4 linked regions of the Macaca mulatta genome follow. The protein of the gene in region 4 purifies or fractionates together with the protein of the main gene of each other region. This does not show direct contact. Links are inferred from orthologs where the notes say so. Each region holds a gene or a part of one and is shown on either strand. Other genes may lie near its edges.

Region 1 (5,178 bases), on a different chromosome or scaffold from region 4:
GTCAATGTTTCTATTATTTTTGTAGCGGTTTCTTAAATTTATTTTTAAAAATGCATGTGCAGTATCACTTATTTGAGAGCAATCTGAATACATATGAGGAACTCGAAACATAACAGCAGTTAGTTCACATTTGGTATTTTCTGATATCAGTTATGGCCCTGCTTTTCTGCTCAATGGAAATGTGATGACAGAAAAGGAAATGCTTAGGCATCTCTTGGACCTGCTTTTCAGCACATTAAATATTGGGGTGAACGCTATTGTATTTCATTGGCTGTGAGTGAATAACTTGGAAAAGGAAAAGGAAGTCAGTTAACCAGTATGGTGAGAGCATGGTGGCTGGCAGTATGACTGTTTCCACAAAGGCGCCAACTTCAATTTGCTAATATTTTAAAACAGGAAGGAAAATTACATACATTTCTCTGTATGGCTGGCACACTGATGGACATAAATGTCTCTCCTATCATTTGATACTGAGAGATAATATCAAAGACATACTCAAATACACACTAATAGCTGGCCAGCTAATGTTTCATAACACATATCTCAGCAATGGTCACTGATTTTCTGAATGACTTCCCTTTTTATAACTGGTACCAAATCAAGGTCATGGACAGAATTGGATTACTGAAACCAAGTGACCTGTTCTTCTCTTTTAAAATTTTGGATAATCCCTCAAGTCCCTTATTACATTTCTTAAAACCCAGTATGATTTAAAGAGCCACGACGGAGTAGGGGAAAGGTTTGGATTACTAGTAGTTAAGAAAATTTGATTTAAGGAATACTGAACAGCAAATGCTATAAGCTTTTCAAAATATTTACATGATTATAATAAAAGGATAAGATATTTGAGAATCAGTATGACAACTAAAATAGCTCAATTTAAGAAGCCCAGTGCAAAATTCCCTTAAAAGATGGAAAAAGAAAGGCTGCTTGCACCAAGTCAAGAAACATCAATGTAAATTTTCAAAATATCTGGAAATCAAGGTCACCCAATAACCAATAACACAGCCTCTTCTCTTATCAGGCCCTTATTATTTACCTTTTCTCATTTTTTCCGCTTGTTCTTTCCACTGCTTAACTTCGTTTTCATTAACCAACCTGTATAAGAGTTCAAGGAGCATTTATTACAAAAAATATAAAAGGTCCACTGCTAACTGCATTCTCCCTAGGTACAAAAATAGTCTACTGCAGAGAAAATCCTCAGTGCATGCTTGAAACCCATTTAAGACCAGATGTTACTTAGATATAGTGCAGGTGTATAGTAACTCATATTTGACCCCTAGAACATTTCGGCTCTCCCAGCTGTTACTCTGAAGTTGGATAAAATAAATATCTTACATTGTCACTATTATCTCACAGGCAGCAGAATAAGAGAAGACTTACATTCGTACGACATTCTTAATATTAAAGTTTTCCAAAGGTGTGGAGTCAGGGTCCTGTCCTTTGTCATTCTGGATAACTATCTGCTGTATAATTCTATCTAGTAGTAACCAGTACTGAACAGTGTTGCCACTCCTCTTGTCTAAAAAAGAAAAGAAGAGTGAAAAAAAATCTTCAAGTTGTTTCTAAGCTAGGACAAATATTTGTCAGTGCTGGTCACCCTTTAGAGCCACCGAACCAGAGAGATGTTTGTAACATCTGCACCAATGCTTCCCAAAGTATGGAATTTTGACATGCAATGATCATTTATTTGATTGAGAGGCACCCTCAACCCCTTTCTAAACAGATTGTAAGGCATACTTTTTATTTTTAAAATCAAAATTTTAATTTGTTTCATTGAAAAAATTTTGTAACAACCCTTAAGCCATGTAGACACACATACTGGGCTGTCATAAAACCAAGGCTTGGAATCCCTGGTGTGCATCCAATGTAATCAGCACTGTGCAGGAGCCAGAACCCTTTGGCCAATGTCCAAACATTCAGAAGCACACATGAGTCACAAACACACTTACAAGGCATTTGGAGGCAGTGGTGCAGGATGGACATGAAATGTGGGTAAGCTTCACTATGTGTCAGCCTCTTCCTGGTCAGCTCAAACATCTGAGTTGCACTTTTTGTGTCTATGTGAACCTATTTTATAGGAAAAAGAAATCAAATCAAACATCTAAGTTCCTCAATTCCCCCAGTGTAAAGTAAACTCAAAGCAAACAGAAGCTAATCCTGCCACTTAGGAAACAAAACAGAGCTTTGATTTTGCTTTTAGGCAGAATTGGTCCATGTGGACTCTACAACACACAAAGAGAAATAATGTGAACTGATGAGTCAAACCAGAATAATTGTAAGCATACGAACCAGTTCAAATCTTTTGGCAAATTCTAGTTCATCTTCATTTCGGAGCATTTCAAAAAAGTCTAAATGCCTGAAAAATAATGAAAGAAAAATTATTAAGTAGAACATCCTACAAACACAGGTGCATAAGACCGAGGACATTAATACCATGGTTTTTCCTGACTTTTCAGAGATATCTCAAAAGAAACAATGTAATAAAATTTGAATGCTTCAACTTAACTACGTTCTTTCTAAGAAAAAAAGACATCACCTGAGTGAAACAGATCACAATATGAGAAAAATTTAAAAGTCTAGGATGCCTAGCATATAGTAGGCAATTATTAAATTAAAACTAAATTTAAAAGCAATCAAGTTCAGATTCCACTATGGATTCCCTTTATAGAAAAACATGCCCATATACCTATACTTAACTTCCAGCTGAATTAAAGCTCACAAAAGAAATGATCGTGCCATTCATTTATTCAGTCACGTATTTAGTGAACTCCTACTATGTATTCTACACACCCAGGATACATTTTATGTAAAGTAAATAGAAAATGATGGCAGGTGAGGTGAATAATGTACACACAGTGGTTAGAACAGGTCTCTCTCCAGGGAACTAGGGAACAAACAATTTGGACATCTGCAAAAGATCTTTCGAAGCTGAGGAAATAGCAAGTGCAAAGGCCCTGATGCAAGAGTGTTTTTGACATGTTCACAGAATATCAAGGAGAAGAGCATGCTGGAGTATATGAATATACAGGAGAGGAGAGACGTGGTAGAGAAAAGCTCTGAAAGCAAGTTGGGATAGCTTAGACATAGTGAAATGATAGCAAACAAGGAAACAAGCGAACAAGGTAGTGGAAATTAACATTCACAGAATGCCTATCAAAGGGGCTAAGTGATTCCATAGGTTTTATAGTCAGTTCTTACAACAGACTTGGAAAATAATTGTCATTATCATCATCACCACCAGCACTATTTTTTTGCAGTTATAAGAACAGCAAAATTCAGAAAAATTGAGTAACTTCACCAGGATACACAGGAGTAAGAGGCAGGACTAGGATAGGATATGAATTCAGGTCTAACGCTAAAACCCACATTAAGTTCTCTACATAATGTGCTGCTTCCCTCATCAACAAAGTCTTACTATAAAGACGTCATTAGCTGAACTAACATTCTGATACAAGCTCTTTATGTTACAGACAGGGCACAAGTAACCACAGGCCAGCACTTGATGAGGCACTGCATTACACAGATAGAAAACACCGAAACTTTCTCACATCTTAACAGTCTGACTTACCTATCTAATGTTGAATTTTCGTGTTCCCTTAATTTATCTATTACAGGTTGAATTCCTAACATCAGAAATTCATAGCGAAGATGAAGTCTAAAGTCCAAACTCTCCTGAAAATAAAAGGGCAATAAAATATGTATTTGTGGTTTTTAGACTACATAATAATCACTTTTTATAAATTATTCTTTACTAATATATTTTTAATTTGTGGAAGGTTCTTACCACTCCTGCACCTTGGCTGAGCACTGCATTAATGAAGGACATGATGGCAGTCTTGAGACTCACTTCATCTCGATACCGCCCAGTGCTTTTATCCAAGTCGTTAATTAATGTCTATCAAAAATACAAATATAAAAACAAAGGCCTGAAACATTACTAACCTTATGCTCATTTTATGAACTTTTTTATACACAAAAATTAACTTTTAAAATCTTATGTTTAGTCAGGATTACACTGACCCATAGAAAGCCACCCTTTTTCTCCTTAAGAAGAGTCCTAAAAACTCTAATTTCAAAATTATTACATCATACATACACGTATACAAAAGCCTTTGCTTCATTACCTCTGCTTGCTTTTTACATCTGAGTAATATAGTGAAATATGAAAAATTATTCATATTGATCCTAATTCAAGAATGGCAAGCTATAAAATTTTCAGGAAACACTCAGTTTGGTGGGTTCAAAAGATGTGTGCTGTATGACATGTAGGATGAAAGGCCACATTTTCAAGTTCTGCAAATCTAAAGGCCCAGATTGATCAACTATTGAAAGTATACTCTATTCTCTGGTTCTTAAACCTAAGAAGAAGGGAATGTTTAAATCACACTGTGAGTAATCACCACAAGGGGACATCTCAAGTAATGTTCCCCCTTCAGGGACAGGAAAAGCACGTGTTTGAGCAGACTTTAAAGAAGGGGTGAGTGAAGAAGGCTAAGGGAACACCCACCTGAAAGCGGGTCCTTTCGCTGGCATACTTCTGGTAGTGCAGCATGGCCTGCAGAACCTTCTTGTGGCCCCCGGGAACCAGGCACACGGCGCCCAAGATTTCCAGCACGGCCACCTTTGTTTTAATGTTCTCTGTGCTCAGACTCTGAGCAATTACATTAATACTCTCAGAATGAGCCAGGACATGAGCCCGGCCTTGAGAGTTGTTCATTAACGCCTTTATACAGCCAATGAGAGAAGTATGTATTCGAGACTCTGAGGTCTCATAGTCCATGGTCTTTAGAAAGTTGAGGATACACGACAGGCCATCCAAGTCGATGAATCTGGTTACAAACCTGTCATGAAGAGAAGCGCACCACACTTAAGTGCCTTTGGGGTTTTATAATAGCCCCTAATAGAAAAGTCTGGAGGGTGGGGGAAAGATTTAGTTCCTAACGTGCCAAAAGCCCTACATTGATGAAGCCTTTTTAATTCTATGCCTCTTCCTTGGCACAGACCCAATGGTCAGGTCTAACCAAAAGTGTGAAAAAAAACCCCCTCCATTTGTGATAAACATATCTCAATGGATACAAAGAACCAAACAACAGATCGTATATTCATAAAAAATCAGAAGCAATGCAGTGAGCCGAGATCGCGCCACTGCACTTCAGCCTGGGTGACAGAGCGAGA
Region 2 (4,549 bases), on a different chromosome or scaffold from region 4:
CCCGCAGCCGAGCCCAGCTCCGCTACTTCTCACCCTTGGGAGGCTCCGCACCCCCCCCCCCGCAGCCGAGCCCAGCTCCGCTACTTCTCACTCTTGGGAGGCTCCGCACCCCCCAGGCCCAGCCCCGCTCTCATTCCCGCCGCTCTGCCTCAGCTTACCGCTCCGGTTCTGGGTGAACATCCTCAAGAACCCCCACTTCATCTTCGACGTGCACGTCCACGAGGTGGTGGACGCCTCGCTGTCAGTCATCGCCCAGACCTTCATGGACGCCTGCACGCGCACGGAGCATAAGCTGAGCCGCGTGAGTGGGGTGGGGACAGGTCGGGGCAGGGAGGCCTGGGTCTGCCCCAGGAGCATCTTGTGAGCTGGGAGCTTGTCTGGGGTGTGGATTTGCACATCTTGGGCTGGAGCCCTTGATGAGGGGGTGGCGCGTGGCCGAGGCTGGGGGCACAGGCGCCCAGCAGAGCCTGGGAGATCCCGAGACCACTTGCCCTCTCCCACAGTACCCAAGCAGAGAAACTGAGTTTTACTACAGATCACAAAATAAGTAGTTGTTTTGGTTTGTTTTTTATTTTGAAACAGAGTTTTGCTCTGTTGCCCAGGCTGGAGTGCAGTGGCGCGATCTGGGCTCACTGCAACCTCCGCCTCCTGGGTTCGAGCGATTCTCCTGCCGCAGCCTCCCGAGTAGCTGGGATTACGGGTGCCCACCACCACACCCGGCTAATTTTTGTATTTTTAGTGGAGACGGGGTTTCACCATGTTGGGCAGGCTGGTCTTGAACCCCTGACCTCAGGTGATCTGCCCGCCTCAGCCTCCTAAAGTGTTAGGATTACAGGCATGAGCCACTGTGCCCGGCCTATACTTTTCTTGATGAAAGTGTCAGTTCAGGGCAGGGGAGGCTACCCAGGGGGACTCTGAGCGGCCCCAGCCTGGGCCCCTTGGCCAGGCATCACTGGGTTTTCTCCCCGACAGGACTCTCCCAGCAACAAGCTGCTGTATGCCAAGGAGATCTCCACCTACAAGAAGATGGTGGAGGAGTAAGTGCTGCCCGCCCTCCAGGCCAGGCCCCCGTGCCCACCCTCGACCCCCTGCGGGGAGGTTCAGGCCTTGGTTTCTCCCACCACCCCCTTTGTGTCCCCCGCTGCCCACACTGTGATGCTCCCACCCCTGCAGTTACTACAAGGGCATCCGGCAGATGGTGCAGGTCAGCGACCAGGACATGAACACACACCTGGCAGAGATTTCCCGGGTAAGGAGGCCACCAGGGACGCACCCACGGCCGTCCCCTGCTCCTGGCTCCTACTAACCTGTGCTGAGCCTGGCCCTGAGCTGCAGGGCAGGGGTTAAATGGTGTTGAGGGGGAGAGAGGGTGGGGTGGGACCTCGAGGTGGGCCCAGCCATGTGAATTGAGCGTGCTGTGTGTGGGGAGTGTGAGCTGTTTGAAGCCAGGCCATGCCCACAGCACCCCCTCCCTGTGGCTCAACCCACGGCCATGCCCACAGCACCCCCTCCCTGTGGCTCCACCCACAGCCATGCCCACAGCACCCCCTCCCTGTGGCTCCACCCACAGCCATGCCCACAGTGCCCCCTCCCTGTGACTCCACCCACAGCCATGCCCACAGCGCCCCCTCCCTGTGGGTCCACCCACAGCCATGCCCACAGTGCCTCTCCCTGTGGGTCCACCCACAGCCCTGCCCACAGCGCCCCCTCCCTGTGGCTCAACCCACGGCCATGCCCACAGCGCCCCCTCCCTGTGGGTCCATCCACAGCTGTGCCCACAGCGCCCCCTCCCTGTGGCTCCACCACCCACAGCCGTGCCCACAGCGCCCCCTCCCTGTGGCTCCACCACCCACAGCCGTGCCCACAGCGCCCCCTCCCTGTGGGTCCATCCACAGCCATGCCCACAGCGCCCCCTCCCTGTGACTCCACCCACAGCCGTGCATCACACAAGAAGACACTGAGATGGTTGTGTGTGCAGGATTCTGTCTGTGTGGGTGTCTAAGGCCACGCCACATGGGGGGCCCTAAGTGCTGCCTGTGCCCAAGGCCCCAGCTGCTGCCCCGGGGAGGCCTCTTGTCCTGGGCGTCCTGCACTACCCCTGCCAGCCCTGGGGCTCCCACAGCCCCTTTTCTGCCCTGACCGTCCCGTCACCCCGCAGGCACACACGGACTCCCTAAACACCCTCGTGGCACTACACCAGCTCTACCAATACACACAGAAGTACTATGACGAGGTAGGGTCAGGCCCCTGGGGGCGGGGGGGGGCCGGGCGATCCCCCAATGTGCTCTGATGGGACTCTCCCTCAGATCATCAATGCCTTGGAGGAGGACCCCGCCGCCCAGAAGATGCAGCTGGCCTTCCGCCTGCAGCAGATTGCGGCTGCGCTGGAGAACAAGGTCACTGACCTCTGACCTCCAATCTCCAGTGCTGCCTTGGGGCATAGGTACCCAAGGTACCTGAGAGCCCCTCAGGGGAGGAGGCCAAGTGGCTGTGGCTGAGGCCCCCACCCTCCCCCGGAGAACGCGCCCCATGCGGGAGTGGGTGCAGCAGGAACCCACCCAACGTCTAGACTGTAGCATCTTCCTCTGAGCAATACCGCTTGGGCGCTGCACCAGCACCAGCACCAGCCCCGGCCCCAGCCCCAGCTCCCTCCGGCGGCAGAACCAGCATCGGGTGTTCACTGTCGAGTCTCGAGTGATTTGAAAATGTGCCTTACGCTGCCACGCTGGGGGCAGCTGGCCTCCGCCTCCGCCCACGCACCAGCAGCCGCCTCCATGCCCCTGGGTTGGGCCCCTGGGGATCTGAGGGCCTGTGGCCCCCAGGGCAAGCTCCCAGATCCTGCGTCCGTCTGTCCACCTCGGGATGGGAGGAGGAGAAAAAGCGGTACGATGCCTTGCTGACCTCACCGGCCTCCCAAGGGTGCCGGCACTCTGGGTGGACTCGGCTGCTGGGCCCCACGTCAAAGGTCGAGTCGTAGGTCAAGTCCAGCATCGGGGCCCAGACATCCTGGGGTCCTGGTCTGTCAGACAGGCTGCCCTAGAGCCCCACCCAGTCCAGTGGGACTGGGAGCAGTTCCACCAAGACCACCCTACCCCTTTTTGTAAATCTTGTTCATTGTAAATCAAATACAGTCGTCTTTTTCACTCTGTGGGTTGGCTGAGTTCCTACTGGGGCTGCGGTGCCCCTGTTCACCACCCCTTCCCTGGGCTCTGTGGGCCCTGCTGGGAGGGGAGCTGCGGTGAGGTGGAGGGGGCTGGAAGGGGTGCTCGTGTGAGGTGAAGGGGGCTGGGAGGGGTGCTAGGGGGAGGTGGAGGGGGCTAATAGGGGTGCTTGGGGGAGGTGGGGGGTGCTGGAAGGTAGGACTGCTTCTGGTGCCATCTGGTGGCTTCCATGGCCTCCTGCTTCTTTCATGCAACACATTCTTACCAAATGGCCACTGCACACCACGCATGCACTGTCTTGAGCGTTAGGAACAGCAACAACCACGACAGGCAGGGCTCGGAGCCTCCCCTGTGCACCAAGAATACAGACAGCCCAGGCAGAGGGGCATTCAGTGCTCCAGACACAAAGTGAAGGCCCAGCTTCAGATGTGGCTGGATCTAGGCACACATCCTGAGGTTCTGCTGGTCTGGATTGCTGACCCACTCACGAGGATCCGTTCTCAGGCAGCCCCAGCCTGTCTCCCCGACTGGGGCACATCAAGGCCAGGGTCTCTTGATGGGCAAGGCCTCCACTGCTCGAGTCCCCTTTGGACTGGGGCACCTCCATTCAAGCCACGATGAAAAACGGGTGGCCTTCTCTCCCCCACAGGAGAAAGGGGTACAAGGCAAACTGACATCCCCTGCTCTAGGGACCCCTGAAATGACATTGGGTTCCTCCCTTCCCAGAGACATGGCTGGTCAGAAGATCAGAGCAAGGGGGTGGACCGAAGTCTGAAGTGCTGAGTGGCAGGTCTCAGGTAGTGAGCTGGGAACCTGGAGGCCTGGCTTCCGTACTCGACCCCTGCAGACCATCGTGCAGGGGGCTGGGGACCTGGAGGCCTGGCTTCCGTACTAGACCCCTGCAGACCATCGTGCAGGGGGCTGGGAACCTGGAGGCCTGGCTTCCGTACTCGACCCCTGCAGACCATCGTGCAGGGGGCTGGGGACCTGGAGGCCTGGCTTCTGTACTAGACCCCTGCAGACCATCGTGCAGGGGGCTGGGGACCTGGAGGCCTGGCTTCTGTACTAGACCCCTGTCTCACTGGGCAGTCAGGAAAGAAGGGAAGGTTCAGTGAGACCCCACACACGTGAAACTTGGGGCTGGGGAGAGGCTGCAGGCCCAGCAGTCCAGCACCCAGGTGGGGGCCGGCATGGGTAAAACCCGGGCATAGCTGCTGGGGTGCACATGGGTGGGCCGGAGTGATCATCTGGGGACAGACGAGGGGTGGCCTGTCCTTCCTGGTGCTTTCCAAGTCCCATTTTCCTCCCAGAGTGGTGGGAGGAGAGGCAGTGGGTAGCTCACCAGCCCAGGGCTACATCCTGCTTGCTTCTTACCGGCAGGACAAGTC
Region 3 (5,754 bases), on a different chromosome or scaffold from region 4:
TCACGCCTGTAATCCTAGCACTTTGGGATGTGGAGGTGGGCGGATCACTTGAGGTCAGGAATTCGAGACCAGCCTGGGAAATATGGTGAAACCCCATCTCTACAAAAATACAAAAAAGATTAGCTGGGTGTGGTGGCGCACACCTGTAATCCCAGCTGCTCGGGAGGCTGAGGCAAGAGAATCGCTTGCACCCAGGAGGCAGAGGCGGCAGTGAGCTGAGATCACACCACCACACTCCAGCCTGGGCAACAGAGCGAGACTCCATCTCAAAATAAATAAATAAATAAATAAAAACATAATTTATCCAGTTGTAAACAAAGAACCAAATACTCAGGAAGTTACATAATAACCAGAAAAATTAACAAATTTGACTTTACTGTTTGAAGAACCAAAGGCTTCAGAAGTTACGCAGAAATACAAAGTCAAAAATGCAAAAACATCAAATACTGTTAGGTCACTCTACGCTACCGTGTGGTATGGGGGGTGCAGTGTTATGCATCAATATTGGCCTCTCTTAATGGTTAAGTCACTGCCTTAAATAAGTGGGATTCAAGATGTAGTTCCTTCATAACACTTACAGAGCTTTCTCTTCTACTCAATTTAACAAAATGCATTCCATGGTTGACATCAAATTACAAATTAATCTAAGATTCATGCTGTTTGATGACATGTTGCAATCTGGGCCTAACCAAAATAGTTACATAAAATCCAAAACTCTACTACTAATGCATTATTCAAAATGTGATGAGTCCAAGACAGGAATGCCTTATTTTAAAAGAATCAAAATGAAAGGGTCATTATGAGGATGCTTATATGAAGAAAACTGAAGTGAATTTCATTAAATTTTTATTTAAGTAATCTTAAATAGAAATCATTATAATGTTGAAATGCCACTCTGCAAAAGTTCTCACTAATACTCATTAAAAAGTTGAGGATATAAATGAAAGCAGTTCCTCTCCATAGAAAATATGCTTTGCAGCCTGACCAACATGGTGAAATCCCATCTCTACTAAAAATACAAAAATTAGCCGGGTGGGGTGGTACGTGCCTGTAATCCCAGCTACTTAGGAGGCTGAGGCAGGAGAATCGCTTGAACCTGGGAGGCAGAAGTTGCAGTGAGCCAAGATCGCGCCACTGGACTCCAGCCATGTCGACAGAGCGAGACTTCGTCTCAAAAAAAAAAAAAGAAGAAGAAGAAGAAAAGAAAATATGCGTTCCATTTCCGTTTCTCCAGATTTCTGAGGAGCTAAATGAAAACAACCAGACTACATAAGCCTTATACCTTAGGAATCCATTATACTAGAGCGACTGAATTAATTTTCCTCTGTAGTGGAAATTTTAATCTAAGCTATGTAGACATTGAGTAGTTAACTTCTTTTTTACCACCACAAGAATCTGTTTCAATATCAATCACCTATGTGTTCAATGCCATTTCCCTTGACCACACAGTGGAATCAACTGTCCTTTACTTTCTATCTTTTGTAATGCTATAGTTCTTACTCTTCCATAGGTAATGGATACCTTTGAAAAACTGATGAAAGCTATGGGGCCCAGAAAAATAAATGTACCCATATACACTCAAATATTTTCATACAATTTCAGGAGTTTAAGAACCTCTATCCCCCAAGATCACCTACACAAATAATTTCTATCACCATATGGCTCTCTTTTATAATCCCACACCACAACTCCTTTACACTCATATACACACGCAAATTAAGGACTAGTTCAGAGATTATTAACATAATACTCAAAATAATAAAATTTCATCTAAGTAAAGTTTTATCTTACTAGCAAACTTCTAAGAGTCCCAGATGAATTCTTTCCTGAAAAGCTTACTAAATCTTACTGTTTGGTCAACTTGCTTGCCTTAAAATGTGCCACAATGTCTTCCTAAATTTGTTTTTGTTAACTCTGACACATCTGCTTGTAAAATCACATAAGGCTCAAAAGTTACGTTCGAGCAAAAAAAGAAAATTCGTGTCAATATTAACAAACTCTTGGATTCAAATACTTGTTCTACCGTATCAAGCTATGTTCAACACGGAACAGTGAAGTTAGCTAGGAACTGAAAATGATACAATCTCATAACTATCTAGTTACCTTGTCAAAGCAAGTAAAACATAAAAGATGAAACAGGACAAATGGCTAAAGGGAAGAGAAGAATACAATCAAGGTGTTACTACTAACAGAGATAAGTGTTTTGTTTTTTTTTTCTTTTCTCGAAAGCATACTTGTTTTAAAAGTGCAGATTCTTGCTAGAGGTACCAAACCATTTGTGGAAAGTATCAGTTAACTTTTTACTTAAATTTTTAATCACTGATTAAGCCACAGTTTTGTACTGGATCCAAACCAAATGGCCAGATGCCACAAGAAACGGCTTTATTTATATGTCACCCTCTCCTTGTCTATTACAATCAAGTTGGTAGTTAAAGCTGAAATCTATACATTCAACATGTGGCTTGTGCTTCAGATCTGGACTAAGAATACAGCTATAAGGAGTATCTGCTGAATTTGTACAGGAAAACCCTTTCCCCTCACACCACCCAAATTAGAAAGTTTACAAAAAGCGGAACCTTTCTGAGGAGTTGAGGAAACTCCAGTATTTCCCAATGCAATACCAGGCCTCATCGATTTCATTCCTCTGCACATTTCAGTGGCAGGAAATGGACTGCTACCACCGGTTCACACTATCAGCACAGTGAGATTTGCACAGTTTGTGCCTACTGCTTTTGAGCGTTCTTAATCAACTAAGTGGAAGTACTGTACGACTATGCCTATTACACACACTCGACAGTTGGTGGTACCTCACTCAGCCTTCAACTCCCACGCGCCCCCACCCTTCCAAAGAAACGTTTCTTGGGAGAGCACATGGAGAGAGGCGAGGAGGAGGAAAAAGGCACGTAGGCGCCTCTTCCTGAGATTTCTGGTAAAGTAGAAAGACTGGGAGCATAAATAGTGCTCTTCTTGATTTGCATAGCTGTAGGTGGGCTCCCAAGGACTTGGAATAAAAAGGAGGGAGGTTCCCCTGCCCCAGACCCTACGCGTTAGGAGGCAAAACAGCAACTGACAAGAGGTGGGAGGAGAATGGAATCGCGCAAAGGCTTGCGCCCACAAGTTAGACAAACAACAGCCCTACCCAGTACTCGGGGTGTCCCCAAGTTGGGGCTGGGCCTTTCTCCTTCCCGCACCGCCTCCCGGGCTGACTACAGTGAGAAAGGGGTTAAGTAGAGAAGGGGTGCTCTTCCGCCCCCACGCCGTCTCCGCGCCTCGGCGTGGCCACTCCTTTAGCGGCTCCCCGAGTTGCACAGCGAGATCGCGGTCATCCTTGGGAGGGGGCCCCGGGTGCCCCCGTGTTCAATGGCAGGAGGATCCCGGGGCTCTCCCTGTCCCTAAGGCCGGCGGGGGCTGCGGGAGCACTCACCAATTTGGGTTTGTTTTTCGTTTCCTCTTCATTGGCGGCCCGGTTCCCCGCGCTCCGCTTGTTGCTCCGGCCCCCACCAGGTTCCTCGCTGCCGCCTCCCGCTCCCGACGCCGCCGCCCCGGGCTGCTCCATCTTTCTCCGGCCCTGTCACCTGTGCCCTGTAACCCCACCTCTCCTCAACTGAGAAAGCACCTCGGGGCGCTCACACTGCCCCGCGCTGACTCGGCGGCACCTCTTCCTGAAGGAGAGAGTGTCTGCCCGGGAAGCTGCCGATTTCAGGCCCCCGGGACTCCAAGCTCCCAGGCACCCCCGACGCAACCACGCCGTTGCCACTACTCGGCGCTGGGGCAAGCCCTGCCCCTGAGCAGTTGCAATTACCACGGTCGCCGCCGCCCTCAGGGCGGTGTTTAGGGTGGAGGGAAAAGTAGGTGCCTATCTCTTTAAGAGGGCCTCAACACACGTGATTCTTCAAAGTGCCCGCATCGGCCGCCCGGGCCCGCAAAGCTGCTTCCTACTCCCGGAGCGGAGCCGGCCCCAGCTACTGAGCATGCCCGGCGCGACGACTGGAGCCTAACAGAGGACTTTCAGCTGCGGTTAGGCACTGATTTCACTTCCTAGTGGCCCAGCGAGAACAGGGCGGGAACTAGTCAAGAGAAAGGAAGGGTAGCCCATTTTAGAGATGGGGAAACTGAGGCCCGGGAGGATCCGCCTGTAAGTTTCACTGGAGGGTCAACCAGAGTATCAGCTTTCACTTCTGTGGGCCAGAGCACCTTCCCTCCCTGAGGCCTCTCGGGGGTGTGGTCCTGCTACACTCTGTGGAAAGACTTGATTGGCAAGGGAACTGGCATCCTATAGGAAAACCACCGGGAGTACTGATTAATTGCCTCGACAGACTGTGTGGGTCAGAGTGGGAAGAGTGGGTGCTTTCTGTTGCCGTGATTACGTTGTGACCGAAGAAATACAGTTGTTCCTTTATTCCCATGCTGCAGGGTTGTTGAAGCAGCAGGCGCCCACCACTTAATCCCTAGGGGATTGTTAGGCTCTTTAACCAAAACACTTATATACAGCTAGCAATTGAATTGAGTGCTGTTTTCAGTTTCCTGAACTAGTTTAGAGTTGTTGTGGGGAGTGAATAAGATCATGTGTGTCAAAGCTTGGTTGTAAATGAAAATCCCTAGACAAATGCTAGGTGTTTTTGTGCAGCAGCAGCAGCAGCAGCAGTAGCAGGGCACTATTGGGACGATAGTCTTAAGTCCTTGTGTCATACCTAGCATTTTGTCCTCAGGACAAAATACAGTACCCACACTGTATTTCTTCCATCATCTTTAAATGATACCCTTTAAAAGTAAAGGTACACACTGAGAGCATTAGAGGGGGTGGGTAAGATTTGAATTAACCACCATCATAGAATAGGAGCACATATGCTAGGAAAGCTACCTATAAAGTACATTTAAATATGAAATCTATAAACATGCCATACATCTATTACTGAAGATATCTCCAGACTATGACTCCTTTTGACCTTCTCCCCTTCAGCCTAAATTTAATATGCGGAATGGAATTTGTATCTGAACATATTTATTGAGAGTGCATTAGGATGCATTTGACCATGCTACAGGTGCGAAGAGACAGCTAACTTGGGCAGTAGAATGAAAAGAACACCAGATATCTGAAAACAGCTTTAATTCCAGCTTTGTCATTGTCATTAACTTTCTTTTTTTTTTTTTTTTTTTTTTTTTAATTTTGAGACAGAATTTCCCTCTTGTTGCCCAGGCTTGAGTGCAATGGCGCAATCTTGGCTCAGCGCAATCTTGGCTCACCGCAACCTCCGCCTCCCGGCTTCAAGCGATTCTCCTGCCTCAGCCTCCCAAGTAGCTGGGATTACAGGCACCCGCCACCATGCCCAGCTAATTCTGCATTTTTAGTGGAGACGGAGTTTCTCCATGTTGGTCAGGCTGGTCTCAAACTCCTGAACTCAGGTGATCCGCCTGCCTCAGCCTCCCAAAGAGCTGGGATTACAGATGTGAGCAACCTCGCCCGGCCAACTTTCTTTTTAACCATGGAGGTGTGACTTCTCTACTCCTAAGGTGGCAAGCTACCAAAGGACAGCAGAGAAGAGGGAATACATGCTCCCAAACAGGGTGGTTAAGGAGCCACATGGTAAATTTGCTTTGTTGAAGTTTCCGTTTTACTTAAAATTTAGTGTATATTTTGAATTCAACTCACTACATACACACACACACAAACACAATTTATATAAATGTCTCTTCTCCTGAAACATTGAGTCAAAGTGGATGCTTCAGAAAGACGTGACCTGTTTAGCCAATGCT
Region 4 (5,721 bases):
AGAGCCTGGACAAATCCGGCCCATTTTCCTGGTGACAAGCATGCCCTCCCCCCATTTCCGGCCTGCCCCAGCATGTCCCTCAAAGCATTCACATCTTATCAACTGCAAGACGCCCATTTCCACGTCAGAACTGCTCTGAAGCTGGGATGGTCTCACCATCAAGGACATTTCAGAGCTGGTGGTGAGGCACCAGCCCTCCAGCCCCCGCCCATCAGGTGCCTTCCCCTGGGCCTGGGCCACCTGTCCCTGTGTAGTGCTCTTCCCTGGGTGCCCTCATTGTTGGGTTCCCATGGGCAGCATCCAGAAACATGTTTCCCCCAACTTAAAAAAAAGTATGACTGATCAAAGGAGGTGACATGAGCTCCACAAGCCACTAAACAAAAGTGACTCAATGCCACTGCAGCAGAAAGCCATGGCGGGGCCCAATACAGCCCGGGGGTCACAGCCAAGGGTGGGAGACAGGCAGGACATCATCGTGATAAGAACTACAGTGTGATAAGAACCAGGGTAGGCCCGACCCGTCCTGCTTGTGCTCAGATGCCCCAGCACCTGTACAACCCCAGGGGTTTTGAGGATGCTGGGAAGAAAAGAAGGAAGAATGCCAGTTGCGGTGGCTTAAGCTGGTATTTCCAGCACTTTGGGAGGCTGAGGCGGGCAGATCGCTTGAGGCCAGGAGTTCGAGACCAGCCTGATCAATAAGGCAAAACCCCGTCTCTACTAAAAATAAAAAAATTGGCCAGGCGAGGTGGCTCACACCTGTAATCCCAGCACTTTGGGAGGCCAAGGTGGGCGGATCACGAGGTCAAGAGATGGAGACCATTCTGGCCAACATGGTGAAATGCTGTCTCTACTAAAAAAAATACAAAAATTAGCTGGGCACGGTAGCACGCACCTGTAGTCCCAGCTACTCGGGAGGCTGAGGTGGGAGAATCACTTGAACCTGGGAGGCGGAGGTTGCAGTGAGTCGAGATTGCTCCACTGCACTCTAGCCTGGGTGATAGAGCGAGACTCCGTCTCAAAAATAAAATAATAAAAAAAATTAGCCAGGCGTGGTGTTGGGTGCCTACAATCCCAGCTTCTCAGGGGGCTGAGGCAAGAGAATCACTTGAGCCGGAGAGGCGGAGGTTGCAGTGAGCCGAGACTGTGCCAATATCACTCCAGCCTGGGTGACAGTGAGACTCTGTCTCAAAAAAAAAAAAAAAAAAAAAAAAGAGATGCTGGGAGCAACTCCATGGACTCCCAGGACAACAGAGCTGAGAGGTGGCAGAGCAGGGGCCACCTGGTGCCTGTGGAGTCTGCCTGGGCAGTCAGCATGTCAGGAAGGATTAACAGTGGGCATGCCTACAGCGCCAAGGACGTGCCAGGTACCGCACCGGAGCTACCTATCAGCCTTCCCTGGGCTCCACCTCACCACCGCCCTACAGTCCCTCTACCCCATGGGGTTGTTGTGAGGAAACTGAGGCTCAGAGAAGCTAAGCAGGTTACAAAAGGGCACGGGGCTCATAAGAGGAGAGCAGAGACGCGGTCCCAGCAGCTGAGGCTACAGCTGGTGTGCTCTGACCCTCCAAGGAAGAGCCCATGGCACATGCATTCCAGCGGCAAGAGCTGGAGGGGAGAATATGTTTCCCAAGAGTGACATGTGCCAACTCTCCGTGAGTACTTCCTGTGCGCAGCCCGGGGCTGAGTGCTTGACGTCTATTAACTCACTGTCACAGTGACCCTGTGCGGTGGGCGCTGTCACTCACCTGTGATGTAGTTAGGGACACGGGCACAGCGGGGTTAGGGGACGCTCGCAAGGGCACACAGCTGTAAGTGGCAAAGCCATAATTTTAACCTAGGCAGTCTGGCTCCCAAGCCCTCAGGCCCTCTTGGCGGAATTGTGCGGCCAAGTGCTGTCTTAGGATCTTGTGTGCACCCAGGTCGCCTCACTCGGTCCTTGTGACACCCCTCCCCGGTAGGTGCCATTCCTCCCGCTTTACAGATAACATCACTGAGGCCTTCATTCCCACTGGCTGGGGGAGAAGAACTCTGCCCTGGACTCCAGGCCCCGCTGGGAGACCCCTCGGAGGCCGGGGCAGACGCACAGCCTGGGCCGTCCGGCACGGACCTGCACACCCGGGCGCGGGAGCGGAACCGGGCGAGGCGGAGACGCCGGGCACTCACCTCGGGGAAGGCCCCATCGGCGAAGACCATCAGCAGCGACGTCTTCCCGCAGCCGCCGTCGCCCACCAGGACCACCTTGACCGACCGCACGCCTGGTGGCGCCTCCTCGCCCGCGGCCTGGGCCGCCGTCATCCCGGGGTCGGGCGCGGAGAGGGCGGGCGGGCGGCTGCAGCGCAGGGACCCAGACTGCGCGGGGCCGGCCCGGCGGGGCAGGCCCGGCGGGGCAGGAATGTGGAAGGGGCGGGGCGGCGGGAGGAAGTGCGAGCCGGGCGCCCCGAGAGCCAGGTGAGACGCCCGGGCGGCTGGGCTGGGGCCCTTCCTCTCAAGGCCGTCTAGGTCCTTGAAGAAACGCTGCCCGAACACCTACTGTGAGCGGGCCGCGCTGGGGCCATGGGAGGTCGGAAGGGAGAAGACAAACAGCGGGACCATGACAGTGTGGGCGGGGGTGTGCTCACGGGCTGGGTCCCAGATCCCAGGCAGGAGCCAGTGACCTTTACTGAATGAGTGAATGAATGGTGCATTTCCCCAGGGGGCTTAGGACGGAGCACAACACAGGCGTTTCATGCCAGGTGGGAAGCGGATGACCCCCTTCACTGGCCCTACCAGGCCTGGCCTGCCTCCCTCCGCCAGCACCAGGAAGTTTTGCTGAAGGTGGGCAGCCACCTGACACCCTGGCTGGCCACGATCTAGGGAAAGAGATGGAACCTTCCCTCTATAAAGTGTGTTTCTTATTATTGCACCATGAGACGTCCTCCTGGTGCCCAAGGGCCTGGGGACCCTGAACTGTTCAAGATAAAATCTAGGCCCTGCCTTGAGAAGCCCACAGCCTAGAATAGTAGACAGGCAGGACATCAGTGTGATCAGAACTACAACGGGGGTAGGGACAGGCAGCGGGACAGGAGTAGGGGAAAGGAGCTCCTCGCCCAGGTTGAGTGAGTCAGGAAGCCCTTCAGAGTCTTGAGGAAAAAGTGAGACACAGTCAGATGGGGGAGGGAGAAGGTGTTCCACAGGAGAGAGCGGCAGGGGCGAGGCTGTGGAGGCCGGAGCAGAATGCTGCCCCCCTGCCCCCGCAGAGGGTGAGTCTCCCTTGCACAGTGGTGCAGCAAGAGGAGCTGGTGCTTGCCCAGTGGAGCACTTTGGATGCCAGCAGTAAATCCAGCATTGGACTGGGAACTCATTGTCACCTGATCCCTCCACTTCTCCTAATGGCCAGAGTTGAAATCTTTTAAAAATGGGCACAAGGCTTTGGGAGGCCGAGATGGGCGGATCACAAGGTCAGGAGATCGAGACCATCCTGGCTAACCCGGTGAAACCCCGTCTCTACTAAAAAATACAAAAAACTAGCCGGGCGAGGTGGCGAGCGCCTGTAGTCCCAGCTACTCGGGAGGCTGAGGCAGGAGAATGGCGTGAACCCGGGAGGCGGAGCTTGCAGTGAGCTGAGATCCGGCCACTGCACTCCAGCCTGGGTGACAGAGTGAGACTCCGTCTCAAAAAAAAAAAAAAAAAAAATTGGGCACAAGGGTCTTCCCAGATCTTGAACTGAGTGTTTATACTGAAACTTAAAAGAATAGGGGGCAGACATCATTAGGTTACCCCCAATTTATGCTGGTCATGACATCACCCCTTATGGAGTTCCAAGTCAGGCACGTGAAAATGCACCTTCAACCTCCTTTAAACTTACTGTGGTCTAAAGAGGCAGCCAGGGCAAGAGTCACTACGTGGAGAAGCAGAGTCCAGCTCCTTAACTCCTCTGCCTGGCTCCAGGCTGTGGTCCACAGGCTGGATGGAGCCCCACTTGGAGGGAAGGAGCCTCCCCAGGACAGCTCTGCCTTCCAGGTGCCCCTTCCTCCCCGAAACTGCCATAGGGCTGGGCAGTGACTTGACACCGGGCTGGGCAGGTAGCTCCTGAGCAGGGCTCCCCGCCCCAAGGAGTGGTGAGAGGGGCCCCACCCCCTCGGATCAGCTGTCAGCGTCATCCTCCCCATTGCTGTTGTCATCAGGCCTTGGGTGGCAAGGCTGGAAGGCAGGTGGGGCCAGACTGGGGGTGGAGGGAGCCGAGAGTCAGGCAGAGGCGTTTGGCCTTGGTTGCTATAGGGATAATCTCTGTAATGACACACTTGATGTCTGTCATGCTGTACAGTTTCACTGAACATTTCCTAATAATAACAGCACCCATTAATGGATTGCAAGCCACATGTAGGCACTGTTCCCTAGGAGGTAGGGACTCTTAGCTCCATTTCACAGATGAGGAGCCTGAGACCCAGAGAGGCTAAGTTGTTGACTAAGATCCACAACTAGTAAGAGGCTGAACTAGAATTTGGATCCAGGTGTGACCCCAAAGCCAGGCTGTCTCCCTCCATCACACCTCATCTGTGCAATTGCAATTTTGTTCAGCTCTCAGACCATGACGTCAACCAAGCAGATGACCTGCTTCCCCTCATTTTACAGATTTGGGAACTGAACCTCCGAGAGAGGCAGAGGGGTGTCTTAGGCCAGCAGGACACAGCCAGGATTCGATCTGCCCCAGCCTCACCGCCCCTGAGCCCCCCACCCCCCACTATGCTTACGCTCTTGCAAGAGGGAACTTAGTCACCAGGCCACAGAAATTGGCTCTAGTCGGCAGGGAATGTCCCTGAATCTCAGACATTTGTGGACCTGGGACTGTACTGTTTTCCTGGAATTTATTTTTAGAGTGGTGGACCAGGTCACACAGTCTGCCTGGCCAGGGTACTGTTTACTGTTTTTAGTGTTTACTGAGGCTTCTCAGGACTTGCAACCTGTGGGTGACTTAGGCCCTTTTAGGCCCCACCAACCCCAGGCCCAGATCTGTGGGGAGCCCAGCACCGTGGCCTGCTGCCCTGAACCCTTCAAGGGCAAGAGTCAAGGCTCACTTGTACCCCCTAGAGGAGTGCCTCTCTCGGGCTGGCACCCAGCTGTGGCTCAGGATGGTATGTCCAGTTGATCGCCTGGCCAGACAAACCAAAAGGACAAGGAGGAGAAGAGCAGAGTGAGGAAGAGAGGAAGGAAAGAAGGAAGGATGGACGGAAGAGGGGCTGACTTACAAGAAGAAACAAAGTGAAGAAATGAATAAAAGAACAAATGCTTGCATTGATGACGAATACCACATGTGACATGAATGGGGAATGTGTGGACAGGTGACCACTCTCCAGCCTCTGCCTACTCCAAGGCCCCCTGGCCTCACCCCTGTCCCCATTTTCTCACAGCCCACCCCCATCCTAAGGCCAAATCCTGTGCGGTCCTGATCACGTCTCCACTGCCCTCATGTGGTTGCTCAGCTCCCTGCGCAGTCATCACCAGGGGCTGCCTCCCTGCTTGGGGTTCTGGACTTGGGTGTGTGGGATGTTTGTGGATGGCTGAGTGAAGGGGAGAGATACAGTCTTTCCCCTTGGAGTGGCTTGGCAGGGTGCACGGGGCCCTGGTGTGTGGCTCCCGAAGTCCTTAGTTCTGCATGCATCTCCTGTCCTCTGCTCTCTTCCTTATGTTTTTTTTTTTTTTTTTTTTTTTCCCATATGGAGTCTTGCCCAGGATGGAGTGCAG

Evidence for each region.
Region 1: the proteins of RHOD (region 4) and DAAM1 purify together in Homo sapiens (affinity purification with mass spectrometry; 3 studies listed by BioGRID and IntAct, counting the BioPlex papers as one, with this or other methods). This does not show direct contact. The link is inferred for Macaca mulatta from reciprocal best matches to the Homo sapiens genes RHOD and DAAM1.
Region 2: the proteins of RHOD (region 4) and PLXNB2 purify together in Homo sapiens (affinity purification with mass spectrometry; 3 studies listed by BioGRID and IntAct, counting the BioPlex papers as one, with this or other methods). This does not show direct contact. The link is inferred for Macaca mulatta from reciprocal best matches to the Homo sapiens genes RHOD and PLXNB2.
Region 3: the proteins of RHOD (region 4) and DIAPH2 purify together in Homo sapiens (co-immunoprecipitation; 3 studies listed by BioGRID and IntAct, with this or other methods). This does not show direct contact. The link is inferred for Macaca mulatta from reciprocal best matches to the Homo sapiens genes RHOD and DIAPH2.

Annotation. Positions count from the first base shown.
Region 1 is NC_133412.1:132,442,514-132,447,691, reverse strand, and holds part of DAAM1 (disheveled-associated activator of morphogenesis 1), read right to left. Parts: intron 4,845-5,178; coding exon 4,511-4,844; intron 3,899-4,510; coding exon 3,788-3,898; intron 3,676-3,787; coding exon 3,572-3,675; intron 2,360-3,571; coding exon 2,293-2,359; intron 2,071-2,292; coding exon 1,953-2,070; intron 1,523-1,952; coding exon 1,384-1,522; intron 1,099-1,383; coding exon 1,040-1,098; intron 1-1,039. UniProt on the Homo sapiens protein: Binds to disheveled (Dvl) and Rho, and mediates Wnt-induced Dvl-Rho complex formation. May play a role as a scaffolding protein to recruit Rho-GDP and Rho-GEF, thereby enhancing Rho-GTP formation. Can direct nucleation and elongation of new actin filaments.
Region 2 is NC_133415.1:1,171,112-1,175,660, forward strand, and holds the end of PLXNB2 (plexin-B2), read left to right. Parts: intron 1-153; coding exon 154-301; intron 302-972; coding exon 973-1,037; intron 1,038-1,173; coding exon 1,174-1,249; intron 1,250-2,158; coding exon 2,159-2,233; intron 2,234-2,306; coding exon 2,307-2,411; 3' UTR 2,412-3,143; downstream 3,144-4,549.
Region 3 is NC_133426.1:103,642,008-103,647,761, reverse strand, and holds the start of DIAPH2 (protein diaphanous homolog 2), read right to left. Parts: upstream 3,774-5,754; 5' UTR 3,557-3,773; coding exon 3,425-3,556; intron 1-3,424. UniProt on the Homo sapiens protein: Could be involved in oogenesis. Involved in the regulation of endosome dynamics.
Region 4 is NC_133419.1:7,348,770-7,354,490, forward strand, and holds the start of RHOD (rho-related GTP-binding protein RhoD), read right to left. Parts: upstream 4,021-5,721; 5' UTR 2,296-4,020; coding exon 2,164-2,295; intron 1,807-2,163; coding exon of another isoform or gene 1,746-1,806; intron 1-1,745. UniProt on the Homo sapiens protein: Involved in endosome dynamics. May coordinate membrane transport with the function of the cytoskeleton. Involved in the internalization and trafficking of activated tyrosine kinase receptors such as PDGFRB.